3 linked regions of the Caenorhabditis elegans genome follow. The protein of the gene in region 2 purifies or fractionates together with the protein of the main gene of each other region. This does not show direct contact. Each region holds a gene or a part of one and is shown on either strand. Other genes may lie near its edges.

Region 1 (7,198 bases), on a different chromosome or scaffold from region 2:
ACCAATCAGCGATCGGCTCCGCCCACTGTTCAACCAATCAGAGGGAGTGGGCGGAGTTCGGAAGCGCTGATTGGTCGGGGAGTCAAAATTAAAAAAAAAATTTTTTTTTTAAAAACGCGATTTTTTCCGGTTATTTTTTGTGGTTTTTCTGAATTTTAGAATTTTAAATTAATTTTTTTCTGTCTAACCTGTGCATGATACAGTGATAAGCATTTCGGTTTGTGCAATGGTAGAAGAACTTTTACAAGGAAAACCTTGTGCTCTTGCTTCAATGGAAGAGCAAATCCGTTTATAATTGAGCCAAGAATCTCGAGAAGCTCACCGACACCGTTGAATGAGTCCGTTTCGTATACGAATCTGCAAAAAATTGGAAATTGAAAAGTGGAAGAAGCTTTGTGTCGATTTACGCAGCGCTTTTACTAATTTTTCGCTAAAATTCACATTTTTTTGGACCAAATTCGCGAAATTTAACATTAAAATCGCCGATTTATTGTATTTTTATAGCAATTTATAATGTACTTACTGTTGAAAAACAAGAATTTTTTTAAATTTTCAACAGAAAATTCATCGATTTTCACCTAAAACACTTCAAAACAGGGATAAATTGGCAATTTTTAAGTTGGAAATTGCGAAAAAAAAGTCCAAAAAGTCCAAAACCGGTTATGTGTCGATTTACGCGCGCCGTGTACTCCTCGAGAAGAATAATTTTTTGATTGATTTTTAGCTAAAATGCTTGATTTTGAACCATTTTCGTGAATTTTAACACTAAAATCGCCGATTTATAGTAATTTAGGCCTGAAAAACTAGAATTTATCGTTTTTTTTGTATTTTTCAATGAAAAATTCATCGATTTTCGCTTAAATCTCTATTGAAAGCCAATTTTAATTTCAAAATTACAAAAAATTGTCCAAAAATCATGTTTTTAAGCCAAAAAATGAGCATTTTTCCTCGTGGAGTACACGAGCTCCGAATAAACGTGTACTCCTTGTGGAAGAGAGGAATTCCTTTTTTTTTTCAAATTTAACACAAAAAACGCTATTTTACATAACTTTTCACAAGTTTTCGGTATTTTTCAAAGAAAAATCACAAATTTTCACCCAAAACACCACAAATATGACAATTTTAATATCAAAAATTGCAAAAATGGTCCAAATCCATGAATTTTTGCCGAAAATTGAGCTTTTCGTTGCAATTTTCTCATTTTTAAGCCATTTTTTAGCGATTTTTCAGCGAAAAAAAAAATCCAGTATTCACCTCAAAAACATATTATTGATATGTTTGCGAATAAAAGCCCGAAGGCCCAAAAATTTTCCGTAAATACGATGAAGAACCGTCTTCAAAAAGTCTCGTTCACGTGGATCCTCCGAATCGAATAAATCGAGCAGCTTGAGCACAAATCTCTGATCAATATACTTTTTACCGATTGAAGCTTGGAAATCTGGCGACTCAAGGAATCTCAGGAAGAGCTCGTAGACAAGCTGCAAAATTCGTTTTTTTTTTTTTGATTTTAGGGCAGTTTTTCCAATTTTCAGTGAATTTTTGCAGATTTCTGATGATTTTAAGCATCTTTTAGCTCCCAATTTGGCCAGAAAATGGCCTAAAAACTCAAATTTTGTCGACTTTTCTGAGTTTCAGGTGAAATTTGGCCATAGAAGACGGAATTTCATAACAAAATTCATTAAAAACCGCTCAAAATCTCGAAAAATTACATATTTTCAGCTGAAATTTCAAATTTTGCCAACTTTCCAGGTTTCACAGCGGTCGGAAATTGAGAAATTGGCGATTTAGGCTGACATTCGACGAATTTTCAGCATTTTTTGATGGCCCGGAGCCATTTTGGGTATAATAGAGCAAAAATTGATTTTTTTAAATAGGGGTCTTTTGTAATAAAAATAATCAAAAATTGCTGAAAATTCCGAAAAATGGTCGAATTTCAGCCTAAATCGCCAATTTTTTAATTTCCGACCGTTGTGACACCGGGAAAGTTGGCAAAATTTGAGATTTCAGCTGAAAATGTCATTTTATGAGCTGTTGAGCGATTTTTAATGAATTTTGTTATAAAATTCCGTCTTTCGATGCCTTTCTCGGTCCAAAAAGTGGCCAAATGCCATCTGTAACACGGAAAAGTTGAGAAAATCAGAGTTTTTAGGTCATTTTGTCAATATTTTTTGATGCACTGGGGCTATTTTTGGTATATTGGAGCAAAAAAACGCGGTTTTCTGCTATAATTTTCAGATTTTCGATGTTTTCAGGATGTATCGGGGTTTTTTTTTGCCAAAAGGAAAACTAATAATTTTCCAGTCGAAAAAGTCAATTTTTTGGACCAAAAATTAGTGAAAAATGCACTTTTTGCTCTATTTTTCTGAAAATTGCATTTTTTTTTCGATTTTTTTTTGTCATTTTTCGGCTTCCTGGAGCCATTTTCGGGTTTTTCTTGCATTTCCAACCTGTAAATGTGGCCACGAGACTTCTAAAGTCGGTTCATCCTCTTCTGGATCAAATTCACAATTTTCTGATGGTGGAAGTACACGGAATATATTCTTGGCAACCATTTTAATGACAGCCGGATAAATTGTCTCAACAATTGCTCCTTTTGTCGATGTAATGTGATCGATGAGCTCATTTAGAGCTGCTCTTTTGATTTCTTTGCATTTCAGTTGAGCTACTGGATCATAGAAATCGAATACGTGCTGACATTGGACGAGCTTTTCGATAACGAGAGCCGGTTGCTCATTTGCAGCAGTATCTGGAAAAATTGAAGTTTTTAAAGATTTTTAGCGGTAAAATTGATTTAAAAGGCTCAAAATAAATTCAAATTTCGATAAAAATGGCGAAAATCTCAAATTTTGCAGCAGCAATTGAATTTCTTTTAAAAAATTGATGATTTAGGCCTTTTTTCGGGGTTTTAGCAGGGATTTTCGGCAAATTTTCACTGAAAAACCCGACAATTTCGGCTCAAAAAAAAACCGACAATTTCGGCTCAAATATTCTGAAAAAAGGCTAAATTTGAAATCGGCAATTTTTGCAGATTTTAGAGATTTCAGACGGCGTTTTTCAGAATTTTAGTTCAAAATTTGGCTCAAAAAGACCAAATTTTCTTAGTTTTGGGTTCAAAATTATCCGATTTGTCAAAAAATCTTTTAAAAAAAAGACTAAAAACTCCATTTTTACGAATTTGCAGCGACCGAAAATCGATTTTCATCGAAATATTCCTTTATTTTGAAGATTTTCGCGATTTCTAACGCGTTTTCCCGTCGATGTAGGTAAATTTTCACGAAATAATGTAAAAATACAACATAAAAAAGTTGATTTACTTGAAAATAGTGTAAGTTTTCGTTAAAAACTTTAAAAAGAATCACAAATTTTGTATAAAAGTCGAAATTCACACTTTTGGGACAATTTCCGACAATTGTAGGCTATTTTCCAACTTTTCAACGAAAATTATCCTAATTTTCAGGCCAATCGAGCATTTTTCAACATTTTTTCACTAAAATTAGCATTTTTGGACATTTTCCCTGAATATTTGCCTGGAATCGACTGAAAACTGCCAAAATCTGCGGCAGGGTGGCAAAATGCGAGTTTTTCGCTATTTTTTACTCAATTCTTCGAAATTTTTTCGGTTTTTCATCTAGAAAATCCAAAAAAATCACCTTTGATGAGCGCCAATTGTACGAGTTCTTGAGCCGAATCAACATTATATCGGCTGCTGTTGTTGATGCGCCTGAAAATATCGGGAAAAATCGATAAAAATAAATTAAACCAGCCACTCACAATCGTCTAGAAGTTCCTCTTTTATTATGGAACGGATCGATTTTATCAACAAATTGATTAGCTGTCGCCGAGAGTTGTTGGCCACCGGTGGCGGCTCCCTGTGTCCGTGGCGGCGGAATTTGATGCGGAGCGCCCGTTAGACTGTGCCCGCTTCCGTGCATTTTTTTTTTTGATTAAAAGAATTTATCTTCTTCAACGTCTTCTCGCCCTGGTTGTGTTCGAGCGAAGTGTTGAAACTTCGTGTAGGAGGGAGCAGAGAAGCAGACGGCGAGAGAGAGATTTCTGGGCGCTTCTGCAAAATGTATATATATATATATTGATTTTTTATTGCGAGAGAGTGAGAGAGAGAGGGTTTTTATTAACGCGGAATGGTGTAAAAGAGATAGGCAGTGGTTATCGAAATTATGATAAGAAGAGAGTGAAAGTAAATGGCAATGTAGGTCGACAAGTGATCAGATTCGGGAATAAAATGTATTGAAATGGGTTTTATTTAATTTTATTCAATTTTTAACCGAAAAAAACGCAGGAAAAACGCTCAAATTGTAGACAAAACATCGATTTAACGTAAAAAACAAATTAAAAAACGAGAAAATCTCCGATTTACATTGGAGCGCACTTACTGATCGGTGGTTTGCCGCGTTTTTTCTAGTTTTTAAAGCTTCCTTGTGGTAAAAATTTGCAAAAATGCCTTCATTAAATGAACAAAGCAATGGGCAATGGGGCCAATACACAGAAAAAGTGAAATTTTGAGAACTATCACAAAATTGATTAAAAAAACCATTTAACAAGAAAAACTAGATTCAAATTCCCGCTCCGCAAATTTATCAATGGAGCACGCTTGCGAATTTGTTTTTTATTTGTTTTTTTAGATGGAAAAACTGAATTTCGTCGAAATTTAGTTGAAGTTTCAGAGTTTTCAGCGTAAAAACTGCTTTAAAAATTAAAAAAAAATAAAACAACCGAAAATTCTGTATTTCTTGCTGGTTTGCTCACTTTTAGCGATAACCGCGGGGAAAATTGATAAATTTTGAGAGAGGAGTGACAGTTTTTGCTGGTGTAAAAATGTGCCAAAATAAACGAATTTCGTTTAATTTTACCTATGGCGGTTGAAAATATCGATAAAACTGGGCATTTTTATCTAAAATCCAGCTGGAAAACTAGCTTTGCCAATTTTTCGTGTCGGAAAAAATTTTAATTTCCTACCGCTACGACATATAAATTTTTGGAAAAATCGAAAATTTTGTCTAATTTTTAAAAATTATCAAGTTTTTTCGAAATTTTGAACTTCGAGGTCTGAATTAAAAAAAAGAAGCCTCCATAAAAAATTTCGGGAAATTTAAGAGTAGTCTCATTACAAAATTCGTTTATTTGAGCGCATTTTGAGTCTAAAAAAGCAAAATCCTTTAATTTTTCATGCGCATGACCTACGCAGTTCGCGCATAAATTATATTTTATTCCCTACAAAAAACACGAACAATGTTCCAAATCGCTTAATAAATTCAGTGAAAAAGTTGAAAAAAAGAGACAAAAAACTCTCGCTCTCACACGAGGTATAAACGTCAACGTTTTGTTGTCTTCTCTCACTCTGCCCAGCCACAGAGAGAGTTAGTTGATCGAGAGAAAAAAGACAATCTCTCACCCGATGAGCGCCGTTTGTGAGCGGCGCGAGCAGAGTTCGTGTGCATTCCGGAGTGCACAGTGATGCAGACACTGAGAAGACGTCGAGAGACGCAGACACGTCGTGCGCACTCGCGCACGCATTTGCACACGGAAAGGCCGGAGAGTGTGGGAGACCGAGAGAGAGAGAGAGAGAAGTAAAGGAATAATATACGCACACAGGCCATCACAGGCCACTGGAGACGACGGAGACGTGAAGAAAATGAAGAGGAGGGGCAGTTTATGGGGGTGGAAGTAAATACGGGGAGAAAAAGTGAGAATTTGCACAACTTTCAGATGAATAGAAAAAGCTTAATTAAAACGCAAACTTCTGAAACTTTTACCTAAAGGCGCAGAGGCTTAGTGGGATGGGTCTCGCCGCGAAAGCAAAGTTTATAGTAGCACTGATATCTAAAAAATGGAAGAAATTACACAAAAAATTAGCCGAGAAATAATTGATTGAAAATTAGAGAAATGACTTAAAATTATTTTTAAAAAGGCTTTTTATACGGAACAAAAGTCTTCTCGAAAATACGGTACCGGGTCTCGACACGACAAAAGTTTGTTAAATACGAAAAGGCGTGCACCTTTAAAGAGTACTGTAACTCCAAAGTTTTGTTGTTGTTGCGGAATTTTCATCGATTTTTTATAGTTTTGGACCGAAATTTATTTTTTTTAAAATATTTTTTTCTGGAAAAAAATAAGGAAACATTTTTGCTGATAAATATGAATTTTTCCGGTAATTTGAGAGAAAAACAGTTTTCGCTATTTTATAAAAAATGAATATTAGCTAAAATTCCACTTCTCCTCGCGGAGTACACGCTGCGCACCTGGTGCTGATCTACAAAAAATGCGGAAATTTTTTGTCCAAAAAAATGTAACGTCAGCACGTTCTTAACCATACGAAATCAGTTGAGAACTCTGCGTCTCTCTTCTCTCGCATTTCTTGTAGATCTACGTAGATCAAGCCGAAATGAGGCACTCTGACAACATGTGGCTGCGTAAATCGACACAGGGCGGCACATTCGCTACGTGGCCTAGAAAATCGCCAACACGGCCGCGATGCATCAAACTTGGCCGAGAAAAGTTAAAACTTCGGCCACGACCTCAAAACTGGGGAAGAGTTTTCTAATAAAAACCCGCGAAAACTGGTAAAAATCGATAAAGCAAAAAAAAAAAAACAAATGATCCAAATCAATTGATGAGTGTCTCTGTGTGAGTGAGTGGTGTGAGTGATTCCCGATTCAAATAAAAAAGATGATATTATCGGAGGTGGTCTTTTCACTGACAAAACATGTGCGTTACCACAAGAAAATACTGTAGAAACAAGACGAGACGCAGACGAAAAATATATATTATTATTATTTTCAACAATTTGTTCGACTAGTTTCTGTCCAACAGAAAAATGTATAAATGCTGAGCCTACTGGAATTATAGAAAGGATTTGAGAAGGAAGAGAGATTTGAGATTAGATTAATGTTGGCCGTGGAAAAGCGGGAGGATTATTTTCTGATGCTCGGCGAGCAAAGTGTTGAGCTATAGCTTGGATTAGATTTTTTCATTTAAAATTACAAAAATTCTAAGTTATAGTGAACTCGGCCACCTCATGTTACTACGTGGCCGTGAAAAAAAGAAAACTCGGCCACCCTCATACATTGAAATCTTGGCTCGGGTAGATTTACGGCGCGTTGCGTGTCGCGTCGCGGCTCGGTTTTAGTTGTAAAACTCAATGTATTTGTCCGTGTAAAGTACACGACTTTCCCACGCGTTC
Region 2 (8,103 bases):
GGATTTCTAATGATTTTATCTAAACATCTTGGTAAAATTACTTAAATCTGGAAAACTTGGCTCTAAATATTTACTCCATTTCGACAAAATAACTGGGGCGGCTATCACTAGTTGGGTGTCGTTTCCCTCAAGAACTTCACTACCAATGAGTCCTAGAATGAGTGTACCGTAATAATAGAGATTGCTTCAAACTGTTTTTGAACAGAACAGCAGACCAAAAGACCTGAAACGTGTTGGATTCAGAAAATCCAAGAATAGCACAAGAATAGCACGAGAGCAGCGAGAATTGAATACTGTTTGGGGGTTTATTATTGTGACAAGTTTATTTTAAAACTTGTGGGATTAGGCAATGAGAATCGGGATTTGAAACATGAAACAAGAAATTCAGAAAGTGGAAAGTAAAGGAATAGTTGAAAAATGGGAACATTGAATAAAGGGGGGAGGGGAAATATAATAAAGGATATGAAAAATGAAACAGTTATATAAACAATTATCAGTCAAATGCCATTCCGTCGAAATTATCATAAATGTTCATGTCCTTGTTGACTTCGCAAAAGTCTCAGAATGATTCGAGGTCGCAGACAATTTTATTCACTCTGAAAATATAGTATTATTATGACATAGGCTCCTACTTGGAAATGATCCAAGAAGGCTACTGGCGCAATTCTCGTGAGCTTTTTTAATGGTATTTTGGAGTCGGTTTAATGCTTGTAGTTTTTAATTAGCTAACGATTGTTCAAAATTGAAATGTTTCAGTTTTGGGCTAATCTTAAGCGTTTATCTGCTTGATATCTTTTAATTAGACCGAAGTTTCAAAATTTTTAATATTTTTTGGCAGTTTGGTATTTTTATAGGACGCTACTATGTATCTAATGTATACATTATTCCATAACCTTATTCCATGTTATTATAGATTTTCGAGAAAAGCACTTACAATGTGGGATTTGCATTAAAGATATTTTTCTCCTCGACTTGCCGATTCTTACTCTGAAATTAATTTCTGAAGGTTTTCGAAACTTTTTTGATACAAAAACTCACCAATTTACCATCTTGAGTCAGAAGATTTTTTGTAGACATTCGGGGTGCGGATAGCAGAAATTAAATTTCTGAAAGTAATGAAAATTAGCTTCTTGAAACTAATATAACTTTAAAACTCACCACACATACAATACATAAATTTTTTTAATTTGTTTTAATCCAGAAAAAAATGGTGGTGCCAGCCACACAAGCCGCCGCAGGAAGACCAAATGATACCTCCGGGAAAAAATTTTGATAAGAAAGTAGAGGAGCAGAGAAACAAAAACAATGAAAAAGTGTGTAGCGGACTGCAATAAAATTTTATATTAATGTAGAGTGACACACAAAAAGAAAAAGATGCTAAACAGTTTTCCTTCGAACTTTAAAAATATTTTAGTTTAAAAAAAATTTGAAAAAAAATCAAGTGTTTTTGATGGTTCTGGTGTTTCATTTAAATGAAACTATACTGTTTTATTTCATCAGGCTTAGGCTTAGGCCTATGCGTAGGCCTATGATTTGGCTTAGGCCTTGGCGTAGGCTTAGGCTTCGGATGTAAGCGATATTCTAGAAAATTTTGACTATGATAATTTGTCATTTTGGGATCATAGGAGTAGTTTTTAACAATTTCCCCTTTGGTTTTTTTGGATTTGGTCTGGCATGCTGCCACTGAAATGAAATTTCACAGGAAACACTGGATATCTAAGGCCAGCACTTAACATTGTTTTCATTCTTGAAAGCTGAAATCGCTAGTCAAATAGCCATCCAAGGAAAACACAACAAGTTTAAGGCGGGAAATGGCGCAAGTGGACGTTCAAAGAGAAGACCTTCAAATGAAGTTAGGCAGGCAAGTAGGCATGCCTATCAATAAAAATGTAGAGGGTAGTATCTAGTAGTATTAAGAAAACTTAACATTCCTATCCTTATAATCAGTAATTGCCAATTTGGATTGTTAATAACTTTTTATATTTCAGAGTCAACTACTAGAATTCTATTTATACGCGCCTATACCAATTTCCTCTACTGTGTTTTTCAGTACAAACGGAACCTTCGCTATCGTAGCGGATAAGTCTGAAGCATCGCTTTTGAAATTGAATCCGTGACCACTTTTTTGCCTAACTTTTACAAAAAGCCAAAGAAGAGACATATTTCTACTAATCAGTTGCCAATTATATACCTATTTCAAACATTCGCTTTATTGAAATTCAACTTTGAATTTTGAATGAGCAGCAGTCCTGATAACAATAGAAAACTACCCGTTACAAGTTCCTGGGCAGACCATAAATAAATTCACAAGAAGGAGCAAGTTGGAGTATAAAAAGAGTGGTTAAAAGGTCAATGAACAAGAATAAAATACAAAATACTCGACATGAAATAGATATATATCAGTACAATCATTGATCTCTGGGTGGGTCAAAAATAGATTCCAGCCATTCTCGTTTTGCATTCAAGTATCTGACAGGATCCGATTTCCGAAGATATACAAGGAGACACGCATCAGCAATTGAGATGATATTCTTCTGTCCGATACACTCCTTCCACAACATGTAGAGCATATTGGTGGAATCTGTGGAGCTGCTCGTATCGTCAAGCCGAGCCTGAACGAACTCGAGAGCAATATCTTTCTGAACTGCAAGGTCATTTGGATTTCCTAAGCAGGCTTCAGCAAACCGGAGAAACCATCTTCTGAATATATTTCGCACAGGTGGAACCCTTGGATCTGAAAAAATTTACGTTTTTCAAGATTAAATATGTCTTATCTTTCTTACCATCGGCATAAGGACCATCCAATCTTGGAATTGTCTCGGTGCAAAAATAATTCAAGTACAGCCATCTTTCAGGTGACATCCCGTGAATATTCAAATTCACTTTCAAGAGTTGTGTCTTCTCTTTGTAGTGAGCATCAATATAATCATTGAAGTCTTGTTGAGCTTCCAGGAATGCCGTCAAGCTATCAGAAATACGAGGTGGTGGTGAAGTTGGAGGTGCATCTTGAGAAGAATCTTCGGTCGGGTTGGCTGACTTGCAAGGGAGTGGGGCAGGCTGACTGAAAAAAAAATTAATTGTACTTGGAAAGTATGTTACAGAAATCGAATCAAGCTGTGCGGCAAAAATTTATATATTCTGAGGAAATTAAATTTATTAGCGGGCTCGCAATTCACCGTTTAGTAATTATAATATCAAGTGATTAGACTGGGCTCCAGGGATGTGTGGAAAATCTCAAAAGTTGCCGAGCACTACTAAATTTTTGGCGACAAAATCCATAGCTTTGATCAAAATTGTCTGAGCTCGGCAAACGGCAAATTAGGCTAATTCGGCAAAGTTGTTTCGGCAAAACCGTACAAATTTGCCGCACACCTTCTGGGCAATAGACAAAAGCAGAGGGCTTTTTGCGGAGTTGTGCAAGATTAATGCTCTATTTTTTTACTCGAGAGGTCTAGTCTTGACCTCAATCTACTCAACTTGCACATTATTTTCCATATGTTTGATCCACGATTTTTTGAGAATTCAGAAATTTATATAATACGAAACTCATTGCGAATTTATTGATTTGGGCCTTACCTGGTGGCTTCAGAGGACCATCTCCCGGCTTGGTTGTTCACTTCAGCCATACGATTATCACAATTGATTCCACTTCTTTTCGGAGTTGGGCAACCATTACAATCTATGGAAACTGGATTTCCGGTACAATGAGAGCTGGAAAAGAACATTTAAAAATGTTGTTTGTTCTTTGTAGTTCCATACCTTTTCAGTCCATCAAGCCCTGGAGTCAACTTTCGAGCGATTCGGTTTCCTGAAGTTGCTTCCTTCCCAGAAACCGTGGCGGAGTACATTGGTGACTTTGTGAGTTTCGAATCAATCATGCCAAGTGACTTGTCAATCTTTGAAGACCTGCAATACAAACATAATGAAAAAAGCAGCTCCAAGTGTAAAACTAACTTGTTGGATGCTGTCAGACATTTTTCTCCGATCAAAGCCTTCGGGCTTGTGATGATTGACAAGGAAGGTGTTCTCTGATCCTTGCTGAAATTCAAACTTTTACTAAATACTTCACTTTTTATCACTACATACCTTGAGAAAGCACGTTTTGTAGATTTCGGCTTCCCAGGGTCCCCATGAAGTAAACGTCTCATTTCCTCAACGTTGGCATCAAAAGTTCCTGTCCACTTTCTTCTTGAGATCTTTGGAGGAGAACTCGGATGTGGACTTGGTGTGGGTTCGACATCTTCTTCTACAGTCTCCAGCGTCACGTCAAGACTGGCGAGACGGGACGCACTACGAGAACTTCCACGACGATGTTTCTGCACTGAAGTTTTCTTCGAAAGATTTTCTGGCAGGGTTCGATTGTTTACATCCAGAAAACTGGAGTCGAAGTCTTCACCAATTGAGCAATTTAGATCACTTCTAGCTGGTAATGTCCGATTCAAATTGCTGCATTCTCCGTGAGAACTGGAAGCTGAGTGCAAGTGTTGTCCGATCTTCATGCTGACAATTTCCAGTAACTGTTCCACAGAAAGTTCGGTGCCGTCCTTGCTGAACACATTGGATTTCAGATTACGTTGAGCAGCTCCTCTGGAAGAGTTCAGTTTCTCCGCCACTTGACTGCCAGCATCCTTCGTTCCGCGAGACTGTTGTTGAGATTTGTTAGTGACAGATTTTGGACCGTTTGCAACACCATTGGAATCTTCTATGAACACGTCGTCAGACAGTTCATTGTCATCTGTGTTGTAGAAAGCACGATCCTGGACATTAGTGCTCCCATGTGATCTTCTTCTATCGTTTCTTGATCCTTCTTGATGATGCTTCCTTGTTAAAGCTTCATTAATAGTAAATCCGGAAAAGCTCTGGTTCAAATTCCGCGGCTTGAAGACATCATGCTGTTGGCCAAAACTAGAATTGATCGAATTGATAAGCTCATTTCCAAACATGCCTCCATATCTCTTGTCCTTGTGATCTCCAGGAGCTTGAACTCCAGCTTGAGCGTTGAAGCTTTTATTTCCATGAAGTTGTTGGTAAGCCTTGGTTTCTTGTTTCTGGAACCCAGCTGGAACGGAACTCCCACTGAATGACACATTCCCAGCATGGCCATGATTGTTCGATCCATCCGAGAAGCTTCGGCCAAGTTGTCCATTCGGACGGCTTCTACTGTGCCCTGTATTTGACTGCTGAGTGTTGTACTGATAAGTGGAAACTGACAAGTTCCGTTGATTCCAGCTGGAGTTATTGCGTGTCTGCGAGTTTTGACGGAAGTCTGCAGAGAACACGGGGGCCGTTGGAGGAATGCTCGATGAGTTGAAGACGTTTCTGTTAGCTCGAGCTGCATTCATCGATTGATTAATCGAGTGATTCAACTGGTCGCCGTTCATGGAAGGATTCCCGTTAAAAGACACGGATCCGTGGTGAGATCTGCCACCATATCCACGGCTTGTTGACTGAACACCGTCTTGCTTTACGAACGAATAAAACAATTCTTCAATACTAATGTGGTGTCCCATATTTTTCGATGCACTTTCCAAATTGCTTCGACTATGAGAGCGGTGACCTGAAATTACAAATTGAAGAAAAAAATTGATTTAAAAAATGCTTACCTTCTCTGTTTCCTCTGGAGTTTGGCAGATCACATGAGGAAAGCTTTGAAGAACTCATACCTGCAACAAAAAAAACTTAATGAAATATTACAAAATGTAAAAATGTAAAAATGTAAAGAAAATAATGAGGGAGAGAGGAATTAATGAAAACCGGTGGGACCAAAAAGCAAGAATGGAGACCTGTGAGTGAGTGAGTGCGAGAAGTGAGAGAGTGAGAGAGGTAGAGAAAGAGAGCGCGAAATAGTGTGTGGGGAAACGGTCAGGGGAATGCATGCGCGCGGCAAAAACACAGTTAAAATGCGGCAGGGGTATTACCAAAACAACACAAAACGTTTGTATGGTACCGGCTGTTTTTCAAGAGTATTGGAGGTTTGAGGAACAGTTGAGTAAAAAGTCGGATATTGATAGTTAATTCTCTGGAATATTGGTGACCGGAAAGATAATCACTGAATAAAACACGAGAAGAAGAAAAATAAGGAAAAATCTTTGGTTCCGTGTACTTGTTAGTTTAAAGGTGGAGTAGCGTTTGTGGGTTTTTTGTACCTTAATGACAAAATAGAGTTTCAATGTAAATATCGAATAAAACTGTAAAAAAATTCCGAACATTTTCTTTGAAATTTTATGATTTTTTTCAATTTTGCAAAAAAAAAGGGCCGAATTATTTTTCAATTCCAGCGCAAATTATTGACCTGATCTTTGACATTTTTCTTAATATTTTCTTTGATTTAAAACTTAAAACTTTAATTTTTCACAGTTTCATACATTTTTCAGTAATGTTTCAGTAAAGTAAGTTAAAATTAATACTGAATTATCGATTTTTAGACTAATTTCAGCGTTTCCAAGTGAGCAGCCAATTTTCTTTACGGAAAAATGTCTGAAAATGTGGCAAGTAAAATTTCAAATTATGACACAAAGAAAAAATGAAGAAAACTCAAACAGTTTGCCACGTGGGATCAAATGAAAATCTTGAGGACTGTGGTCGATAACTTCTGCCAATTAATTTTCTAGACTGTCTCATGTTTCAATACCAAAATGAAATCATTAAATACTGCCAGGTTGCCCCACGTGGCAAAATTTTTTTTTTTTTTTTTTTTTGGTTTTTTTCTACAGGTCTTGCCTGGATAAATGCCGTATGTAAGCTGTAAGACAGTGGAACGAACACTGAATTCCCATTTAAGGCTGGAAGGACCTAGGAGGTGGGGGTCGAACTTGTGACCTTGTGATTGCAAGCAGCGCGCATAGGCACTGAGCCATGCACCCCCCGGAAGCATGAGTCACTAATAGGGGTGGCTATAGGTCGACCTAGGTCGACCTGCGACCTAGAGGGTTAGGTCGCATCGCGACCTAGGTCGCATTGCGACCTGCGACCTAGCGACCTGGGTCGCTTTGCGACCTGCGACCTAGCGACCTGGGTCGCTTTGCGACCTGCGACCTAGCGACCTAGGTCGCATCGCGACCTGAATTACCGACATTTTGTTCTCTTTCGGTTTTGATTCACTTGAGTTGTTAAAATCCGTATAACTCGAAAACTAAAGATTGCAGAATATGTATGATATATTCCACTAACATTTTCTCTATTAAGATTTTATAAGTTTATGCGTAGTTTTTTTTCAAAAGTACGGAACAAAGAATTCATTTCTACAAATAAAACCATGCATTTCAGCAAATTTTTTCAAAAAGTTCACGTTTTTGTGGTTTTTGTTGTTTCTAAAATTTCATTTTCCACTTTTCGAATTAAAAACGTAGAAAAAAGCAGCAAATCCGGCGGATGTCGGCTGTTCTAACTTTTTTCGACAAGGTGTCTTATGGATGAGAAATCGAAAACAATGTAAAATAAATGATTTGTAGCAATTTGTTAGTATAAAAATTGTCGGTAATTCAGGTCGCAATGCAGTTTTCGAGTTATACGGATTTTAACAACTCAAGTGAATCAAAACCGAAAGAGAACAAAATGTCGGTAATTCAGGTCGCAATGCGACCTAGGTCGCTAGGTCGCAGGTCGCAATGCGACCCAGGTCGCTAGGTCGCAGGTCGCAATGCAACCCAGATCGCTAGGTCGCAGGTCGCTAGGTCGCAGGTCGCAATGCGACCTAAATGAAAACAGCGACCTAGCGACCTAGGTCGCACTCTTGCCACCCCTAGTCACTAATGAATTATATGAAATCGATCGCCGGAGAAGCTGCAAGCAGCATACAAAGGATCTTTTTTATTTTTTATTTTCAATTGATCTCTCTAGAGTGGCTTTTCTTATAAAATATTGAGACTTTTCCAAAGTCTCTATATGCGTTGTAACCAAAATTCCCAAACTGCCAAGCAAGTATTTATAATGAGTTCAAATTCGAAATGGGGAAATTGTTTTAAAACACGCCTATGTTACCACAATGACCGAATATCATGATAAAAAATTTTCTAGATTTCATATGATTTTTTGAAAATTGCAAAAATCTCAGTTTTCCTCTAATTCCTATTCGAATTTCCGCCGAATGAATTCGTTCGCTGG
Region 3 (7,881 bases), on a different chromosome or scaffold from region 2:
TCTTTGACTGATACATCTTTACATTTGAATTCCGCAACTTGGAAGTTTACGATATAAAGTATAGTTGAAGCTAAATTAGGTCGCAGGTGATACATTCGTATTCTGGGAATTCAGATTATTCTAAGAAAATATTTCAGTCTTCAGATTGGTTACTATAACAATCAGATGGCTCGGCTACTCAGCATGAAAAATAAATGACACATACCAACCTTAACGGTTGCTTTTCTAGAAAGCAGATAATTTACAGAATTATTATATAATGTAAAAATTAAATTTTTTAAATACGTGTTGACTTCAAACATTCACCAGTAATTTTTAGAGAAACATAAAATCGTCAATCGAAAAAATGTCTTTCGAAACGCTTTAATTATGAAGGTACCTTTCTCAAAGTTACTTAGAAAAAACATTTTTAACGTAGTATTATTTTGAAAATCTAAACTATATTGTTGAATGATTTCATATTGTGAAATTATTTCAACGCTTGAAAACTTCCAATTGACTTTGGGTTTTTGACATTTTTTTTGAATTGGTATTATGAACTGTAAGCTTTAAATACAAAAGCTCATTATCAAGGTTTTGATAAAAAATTGTTATCTTTTTCGAAACGCGTTAGTAAATAGAAAATTGCTTTCTAGACGATTATTTATAAGTTAAGAGGATTTATCAGTGAATTCCCTGAATGTGTTTTCAAAGATTTTCGAACATTTATTTATTTTTCCTTTTTGGTCTCCAGCGACAAATTATTTTTCTATTCGAATATTTTTTCTGTAGCCGGGTCATCATGGAAATATTCCAATAGACTATTGAAGACGGATGAGCATTATTTCCGCACGTAAGGGACTTTGGGATTTTACGCTGGTTCAATGCCATGCATATACTCACAATAGCCAATTCCTTTGTGCTCTTTGATTTTCAAAACAGAAATATGATGCCAATACTGGCGCCCAGACCCCGGGACAAGATTTCATTTCTTCAACTAGTTTCACCCTCCGTCATCACGTGTCAGTTTTTAACGATTTCTAACAAAAATGTATGTTTTTGTGTCTAGGAACGGCAATGTTGAATATTTTGTTTTTCTAGAGTCTTACTTGTTTCAGCTTCGATGAAACCCGTTTTTTTAAATATAATTGAAAAGTGGATAAAAATTGGTTCATTATAATTAGAGATAGTTTAAAACAATACCCTAAAAATCCCAACAGTTAGAAGGGACTTATTCATTAATTAGTTGCTGGCTAAGTTTTCTATTTATATAATTACTCTCGAAATTTATCAATCGATTCTTGGACTTTTTTGTTCCGCAGACGCCGGCGGAGTTTACAAGCGTACGATGTGGTTCAACTTTTAAAGCTTTATAAATGGGGCATGTATGAATATTTCGAATTCTAAATCTATAATATTAAAACACAAACGCATCTAAATTATTGGTGTCGATAAGTATTTTTCAAGCGGTGAATCATCTGTGTTCACACAAATAACCAGATAAAAATGAATAAAAACATTTTAAGCTTGTTTAGAAAATTAATTAGTTTAAAACTTGATTCAAGACGGCACGATGCTTCTGACCGTTTTTATCCTTTCTAATTTATTTTTTTTATCGTATTACTTGCAATGGCATCACTTGATCACTGAACCTTCAAGGAAAAATAGAATGTTAAATTCAGAAAAAGTCTTAAATCTAGAAAAAAAAAACTCGGTGCACAAAAGTACATCAATTTTTTGTCTGTGATCAGCTACAATTCATTGCATATTCGTATAGAATATATTAAAAAAAGTTCCTAGATTTATTACTCGTTTTTTCACCAGTTATTTCTGCTTTCTTACGAAAACGCCTTTTCTCATTTTGCTTGTCAAAAAACACGCGATATGTGAGCCACAACAGAATTCTAATTGCTTGTTTCTATGTTGGGGGCACCACACAATTTCACCTGTTTTTCAGCAATCCAGCACGACCGCTATTTTCTTTGCTTCATGGGTTCACTTTTGGCAAACCCATAAAATATTTCGTATACTTATATGTCAAGTATTTGTATCTTACGAGTAAGACTGCCAAATTCTTCCTGCTCTCTTTTTTTCATCAGAATCTGATCCTTGACATCGTCTACTCTTTTACTCTCAAAAGAGCAGCAGTAATTGGAAATTGAAGAGGATGAAGCTCGATCTTTAAGGAAAAAACGAGAGAAAAGAAGTGGGCTGGTTAATCGAAAATTGCGCTGAAAAAGCAGAAGACGAGCTGTAGGAAAAAACGACAAAGCGTGGGAAGAGGGACGGCGCCGTTTGCTCCGCGCTTTTTATTTTTCGTCTTCCGATTTCCGAAGTGACGATGGTTTTTAAGTAAAGACAGATGATTTTTCTCATTCATGTAGTGATGTCATTTTTTGTTAGTTAGAGCCACATGGAATTCCATGGTTTTGCATTCCATTAATTCCTCTCCTACAGTTAATCATACTGCTTGAGATTGCATTTATTACATAGGTTACTGTAGTTTTCTAAAAAACAGATTTGGGTGCATATGTGCATGTTATCATGTGTGTTCTCAGTTTTTCCCCGTTGCTTTGAAAACATAATATCTCTTGTCAACAACGTTTTTCCACTTTTGAAACAATGAAAAATGGTCACTTGCTCAGTTTGTTGTCCCTTGTATTCTCTTTTTAATTTTTTAAAGGTCTCTTCATACTTTTATTGAATTTTTCATGTTGTTAATTTCAGGCGGTCGGCTCCGCATCCGCAATGTTGAGATCAAAGAAGAAGGACAAGGAAAATGGGAAATCAGAGAAAAAGGACAAAGAGAAGGATAAGAAATCAATGAAAGATGACGGTGCTGGAAGCAGTAAGGCATCTACAATTCCTACGATCCGAACAGAAGATGTTGGAGGTAAATTAATGTTTTGATTATTCGGGAAAGATGATAACACAAAATTTTAAAAAAGTCAATTTCAATAAAATCTCACGTGAATCTATATTCTTCCACGGTTCTCCGAGAGCATAATTTTTCATCATTTCTTTCTAACCATCGAGTAATTTCAACCATCAACCAAAGATAGCAATGAATAAAATGCCACAGAGATCAAAGAAAAGACGACAGAAAACGAGTAAGTAGTCTAAATTATTTGAGAACATTTAGGAGTAAGAGTGGTTCCTATCGTAGAGTTTTGAGAATTCTTCGAAACGAGCGGAGATCGTTGTGAGACCCTGTGAAGACAATACAGCGAGCCTATAAAGTTTAGATTACGGCGTGTCGAATTTTATCATGAAAACATATACTATTCGGAAACAAAAACAACATGATTCGAGATTAAGGTTTTGATTAGAGTTTTCTTCAGTAAATAATTTTTGAAGCTGTCCTCCCTTTCAGCATCTTATAGTTCTCGAGGTAGGCAGGTTTTTGACCACTTGCATTTTTTTGAATAACTGAAATGGATGCAAAGTATAAATAAGTAGAAATGTATCGGATCTGAAATCAAATGCACTACATTTTATGAAGATATTGAGTGAAAATATTTATCAGTTAGATGGGGGAGGAACAAGCCATCCAACCAACAACAAGAAATCTGTGAGCCCTCAAGGCACACTATTGATGTCCAACTTTTCCACAAACTCCTTCAAACTCTTCTTCTTTTTGCCCCCCCCCCCCCATTTTCTTTATTTCTCACAGAAAAAACGACCTTCTTTCTTCTCTGCGCCTGTCTTGCTCCTTTAGATTTCTTTTCTATCATCAATTTACCCTACTCTTCTTCTATTTCTCGCGTTATTTTGTATCACGGAAGAAGGTATTAGAAATAATTCGAATAGGATAGTTGGAACGGATTAGGACTCCAGCTCAATTAGTTTGATTGTGTTTTTTTGGTTTGTTACGCCTTTCCTGTAGTCTTTTTGCAGCGCATACCAAAGAAAAAAACATTTTAGTGTTCTGGAGAAAATATTATTTTGTTCATAGTAGATATTTTCTTACAAACGCTTAGACATTTCGCTATTTCCCCAACTTCACGAAACAACTTTTGTAGTGTACATTTGAATTTGAATTTCCCGCGTAAATGCTCGACGAGGCCGCAGAAATCGAAAATGGGATAGTTAGTCCACCACTAGTGTACTCCTCTCGGATAAATTTTTTTTTGAATCACAATCATTGATTTTTCCATTTTCGGCCCTCATATTTATCATTTCTAGGAGATATGATTCCTGCAGATGCACCACCACCAACAAATATTGGCCGAACAAACACGTACGGAGGAGGTTAGTGTTTAAACGAAGACTAATTAACTATAGAGACAGATTTAATTTCAGGGCCAGTGATACCGCGAAGAGAGCGCCGCCAATCAAGTAGCATGTTCAACATTTCACAAAACAGAGAGCTGCAAAGACTTCCAGCTATCAAAGGTAATAATGTTTTTTTTAATTACCGTATTGATAAACTCGTTTTTAGATGCGGATCCGAGCGAGAGAGAAACACTGTTCATTCAAAAACTTCGACAATGCTGCGTTGTTTTTGACTTTGCCAATGATGCTCTCAGCGATTTAAAATTCAAAGAAGTCAAACGGGCAGCTCTAAATGAACTCGTCGACCACGTTTCCGGAGCTCCAAAAGGATCGCTATCTGATGCTGTCTATCCAGAAGCTATCGGCATGTTCTCCACTAATCTTTTCCGTCCTTTGAGCCCACCGACCAATCCAATTGGTGCTGAATTTGACCCCGATGAAGACGAACCAACATTAGAAGCTGCCTGGCCACATCTGCAGGTAATATTTATTTTCTGCTCTTATTTAAAGTAAATATTTTCAGCTCGTCTACGAGTTTTTCCTGAGATTCCTGGAGTGCCCCGATTTTCAATCTCAAGTTGCAAAACGTTACATTGATCAAAATTTCATTCTTCGTCTTCTCATGATTATGGACAGTGAAGATCCACGTGAACGTGACTTTCTGAAGACAACTTTACATCGAATTTATGGAAAGTTCCTCGGACATCGTGCTTACATTCGGAAGCAAATCAACAACATTTTCTACTCGTTCATCTACGAAACTGAGAGGCACAACGGGATTGCTGAATTACTCGAGATTCTAGGTAGCATTATCAATGGATTCGCTCTTCCCTTGAAAGAGGAACACAAAACTTTCTTGCTCCGAGTTCTTCTTCCGCTACACAAGGTCAAATCATTATCTGTATATCATCCTCAACTCGCGTACTGTGTCGTACAGTTCATTGAAAAAGACTCATCACTGACAGAGCCTGTAATCAGTGGGATGCTACGCTTCTGGCCAAAACAACATAGTCCCAAGGAAGTGATGTTCCTGAATGAATTGGAAGAAGTCCTCGATGTGATAGAGCCGAATGAGTTCCAAAAAATCATGACTCCATTGTTCTCACAAATTGCTCGCTGTGTCAGCAGTCCACACTTCCAAGTTGCCGAACGAGCTCTCTACTATTGGAATAATGAATATGTGATGTCATTAGTAGCGGACAATGCTCGTGTGATAATTCCAATAATGTTCCCTGTTCTTTTCAAAAACAGCAAGTCACATTGGAATAAAACGATTCATGGACTTATCTACAACGCCCTCAAGATGTTCATGGAAATGAATCAAAAACTGTTTGACGAGTGTTCCCAAGCTTATCAGAAAGATCGAGTTCAAGAAAAGACATTGAATGAAGAAAAAGAACGCATCTGGAACAATATTGAGAAACAGGCAATGGGAAACCCGCAATATGTTGAAGTTAAAGCACTATTTGCTCGATTTAATCCAGATGAAATCATCAGCTCGCGTCAGCAGAATGGAGTTGACGAGAATATGAAGACTTCAACTGTGCTTAGCAAGGATGAAATTCTGAAAAATGCTGTAGGAGTGGTAAGTTACAAAAACCTAGAAATATTTTTTTTTTGTACAATAACGAATCATTACAGAGCTCGATGAAAAACGATATGGATTTCGGACCCAACCACAAACAATCCGATTTCCCTCCAGATGAGCAAACGACGAGAGCTTTAGGCGAGTACAAGCGTCACGATCCATTTTTGAAGAAAGTGACTAGCACCGACGAACAGTGATGCAGAAGACTTCAACGGGTGCCAATTTCTCCATGTTGTGCCGGGTTTATTATACGATGATTCGACTTCCTTACCCAGTTTCCGTTCCTTTCTTAAAATATTGACCATTCCATGACCCTTATCACCGTTTTATTGCTCTCCAAAATTGCCCTTAATCACATCTATGTTTGCGTACCTGTAAATATTTCGAAACTTATTTCAGTTTTATCAATATGCACCATAAATTCCATCTCTCCTCACCATCATCGCAAATCCAAATGCGACTTTTCATTGTGTAATAATTTCCCCCATTTTGGTAGTGATTTGGATTTAGATGTTATAAATGAATCGAGAAGCCATGTGAAATACATTAAAATCTGCATAGGAATAATCATGGGAATATATATTAGGCAGAAGGTTTACGAGGGGTTTGGCTCATTTCATCCAAATCCTTCTTTATATGTTCTTTTTCGAATGCTAACCCCACTCTTTGCACATCAATATGCACTTATGTATGAAATACACGAAATGAGACGAAGGAGCATTATAAGCGTTTAGGAATAAACAAAGAACTGAAAAAGCAGAGAGAAGATCATAAATCCATGAGACGAATTTTTGTTTGTTTCTGACTCACTTCGTCATATTTCTTCTCCAGGGTTTACTTTATCTTTTTTTTTCTTATGATTTCTCTGTTAGTCTTTGGAACATTTTACTTTAAAACTCATTATCGCAAAGTCGCTTTCATTTATTTTTAAACAAGATTTATAAAACTTTAACAGGATGATTCGTTGTATTTCAATCTAATGACAATTTTAAAATATTAAAATCACCATTAGTAAATACGGTTCCCGGTCTCGAACGCGACAGTTTTTGTTAAATACAAAAATGTGTGTGTCTTTCTATAAAAAATCCATGAAAATTCGAAAGCAGCGAAAATTAGAAACTACAGTACTCTTTAAAGACGCACACATTTTTGTATTTGACAAAAATTGTCGTGTCGAGACCGGGCACCGTATTTTCGGAGCAAAAATCGCCAACTTTCGGTTAAGGCGATTCTTTTTAGTTCCATGAAAATAAGGAAATTTTTGTTATTTAATTTTCCTTGAAATTAGTTGGTTTGGTTCTAATGGGTATACCTTGCCGAAAATGCAAAAAAAATTGCATTTTTGGCAGAATTGAACTTAGACAACTTAGACGATTGTCAGAATCTTAGACAATTGAATTAATGCAACTTATTCGAATATTTTACAATAAAAGCGAATAAGCCACAGCCGGAGCAGACATGATGAAATGATGAAATGATGAGAGTAATAAAAGTGTGGCAAATGTATGACAACCAGAATGAGGAAAGGATACACTTGGAAGAAATTGAGACAATGAATGACATCTATTCATATTCTTTCTGTTCTTTTTAAAATATTATTCTAGAGTTGTTTACTGTAATATTACTAGATTTATTCACTTTTGAATTCATTCGTAACATTTTCAGTGAATTCACATTCGATCAGAAAATGTGGTAAATGTGATTTACAACGAAGAAAATTTAACGATATATAGTTTTTTAAGTGACAAGCCAACCACACTCGAGTATCGTTAATTCGCAAAAAAAAATGACAATACCCAAAAATAGTTCATTTGATATAGAAAAAGAAATTACCAAATTGAAACTCCATGTCAGGATTTACCATGAACCGGGTTTCAAATTTTTGCCAACGGATGATAATTTCAGTACAGCTTCTAGAGATAAATATTATAGATTGGTATTATTCATTTATATCTAGAAAATAATAAACGTCTGAAAAACAAGCAAATATTCCAGAATCCAATATACTTGCTCACAATTCCTGTTTTTTATAAATCTAA

The links.
Region 1: the proteins of meg-4 (region 2) and pptr-1 purify together in Caenorhabditis elegans (affinity purification with western blotting, with the first as the bait; one study listed by BioGRID). This does not show direct contact.
Region 3: the proteins of meg-4 (region 2) and pptr-2 purify together in Caenorhabditis elegans (affinity purification with western blotting, with the first as the bait; one study listed by BioGRID). This does not show direct contact.

Annotation. Positions count from the first base shown.
Region 1 is NC_003283.11:16,354,386-16,361,583, reverse strand, and holds the start of pptr-1 (Serine/threonine-protein phosphatase 2A regulatory subunit pptr-1), read right to left. Parts: upstream 4,064-7,198; 5' UTR 3,933-4,063; coding exon 3,772-3,932; intron 3,722-3,771; coding exon 3,651-3,721; intron 2,747-3,650; coding exon 2,448-2,746; intron 1,479-2,447; coding exon 1,255-1,478; intron 358-1,254; coding exon 189-357; intron 1-188. UniProt on the Caenorhabditis elegans protein: Probable regulatory subunit of serine/threonine-protein phosphatase let-92 which negatively regulates the insulin receptor signaling cascade composed of daf-2, age-1, akt-1, akt-2 and sgk-1 by promoting the dephosphorylation of akt-1 on 'Thr-350'.
Region 2 is NC_003284.9:1,680,514-1,688,616, reverse strand, and holds meg-4 (J domain-containing protein), read right to left. Parts: upstream 5,664-8,103; 5' UTR 5,662-5,663; coding exon 5,604-5,661; intron 5,558-5,603; coding exon 4,087-5,557; intron 4,039-4,086; coding exon 3,955-4,038; intron 3,907-3,954; coding exon 3,760-3,906; intron 3,712-3,759; coding exon 3,577-3,711; intron 3,062-3,576; coding exon 2,784-3,061; intron 2,735-2,783; coding exon 2,409-2,734; 3' UTR 2,198-2,408; downstream 1-2,197. Other genes in the region: C36C9.11 (Transposase), read right to left, coding at 560-596, 935-987, 1,039-1,077.
Region 3 is NC_003283.11:11,025,671-11,033,551, reverse strand, and holds pptr-2 (Serine/threonine protein phosphatase 2A regulatory subunit), read left to right. Parts: upstream 1-2,727; coding exon 2,728-2,872; intron 2,873-3,043; coding exon of another isoform or gene 3,044-3,089; intron 3,090-3,631; exon of another isoform or gene 3,632-3,747; intron 3,748-3,767; exon of another isoform or gene 3,768-3,908; intron 3,909-4,164; coding exon 4,165-4,230; intron 4,231-4,269; coding exon of another isoform or gene 4,270-4,281; coding exon 4,282-4,374; intron 4,375-4,420; coding exon 4,421-4,734; intron 4,735-4,777; coding exon 4,778-5,839; intron 5,840-5,895; coding exon 5,896-6,039; downstream 6,040-7,881.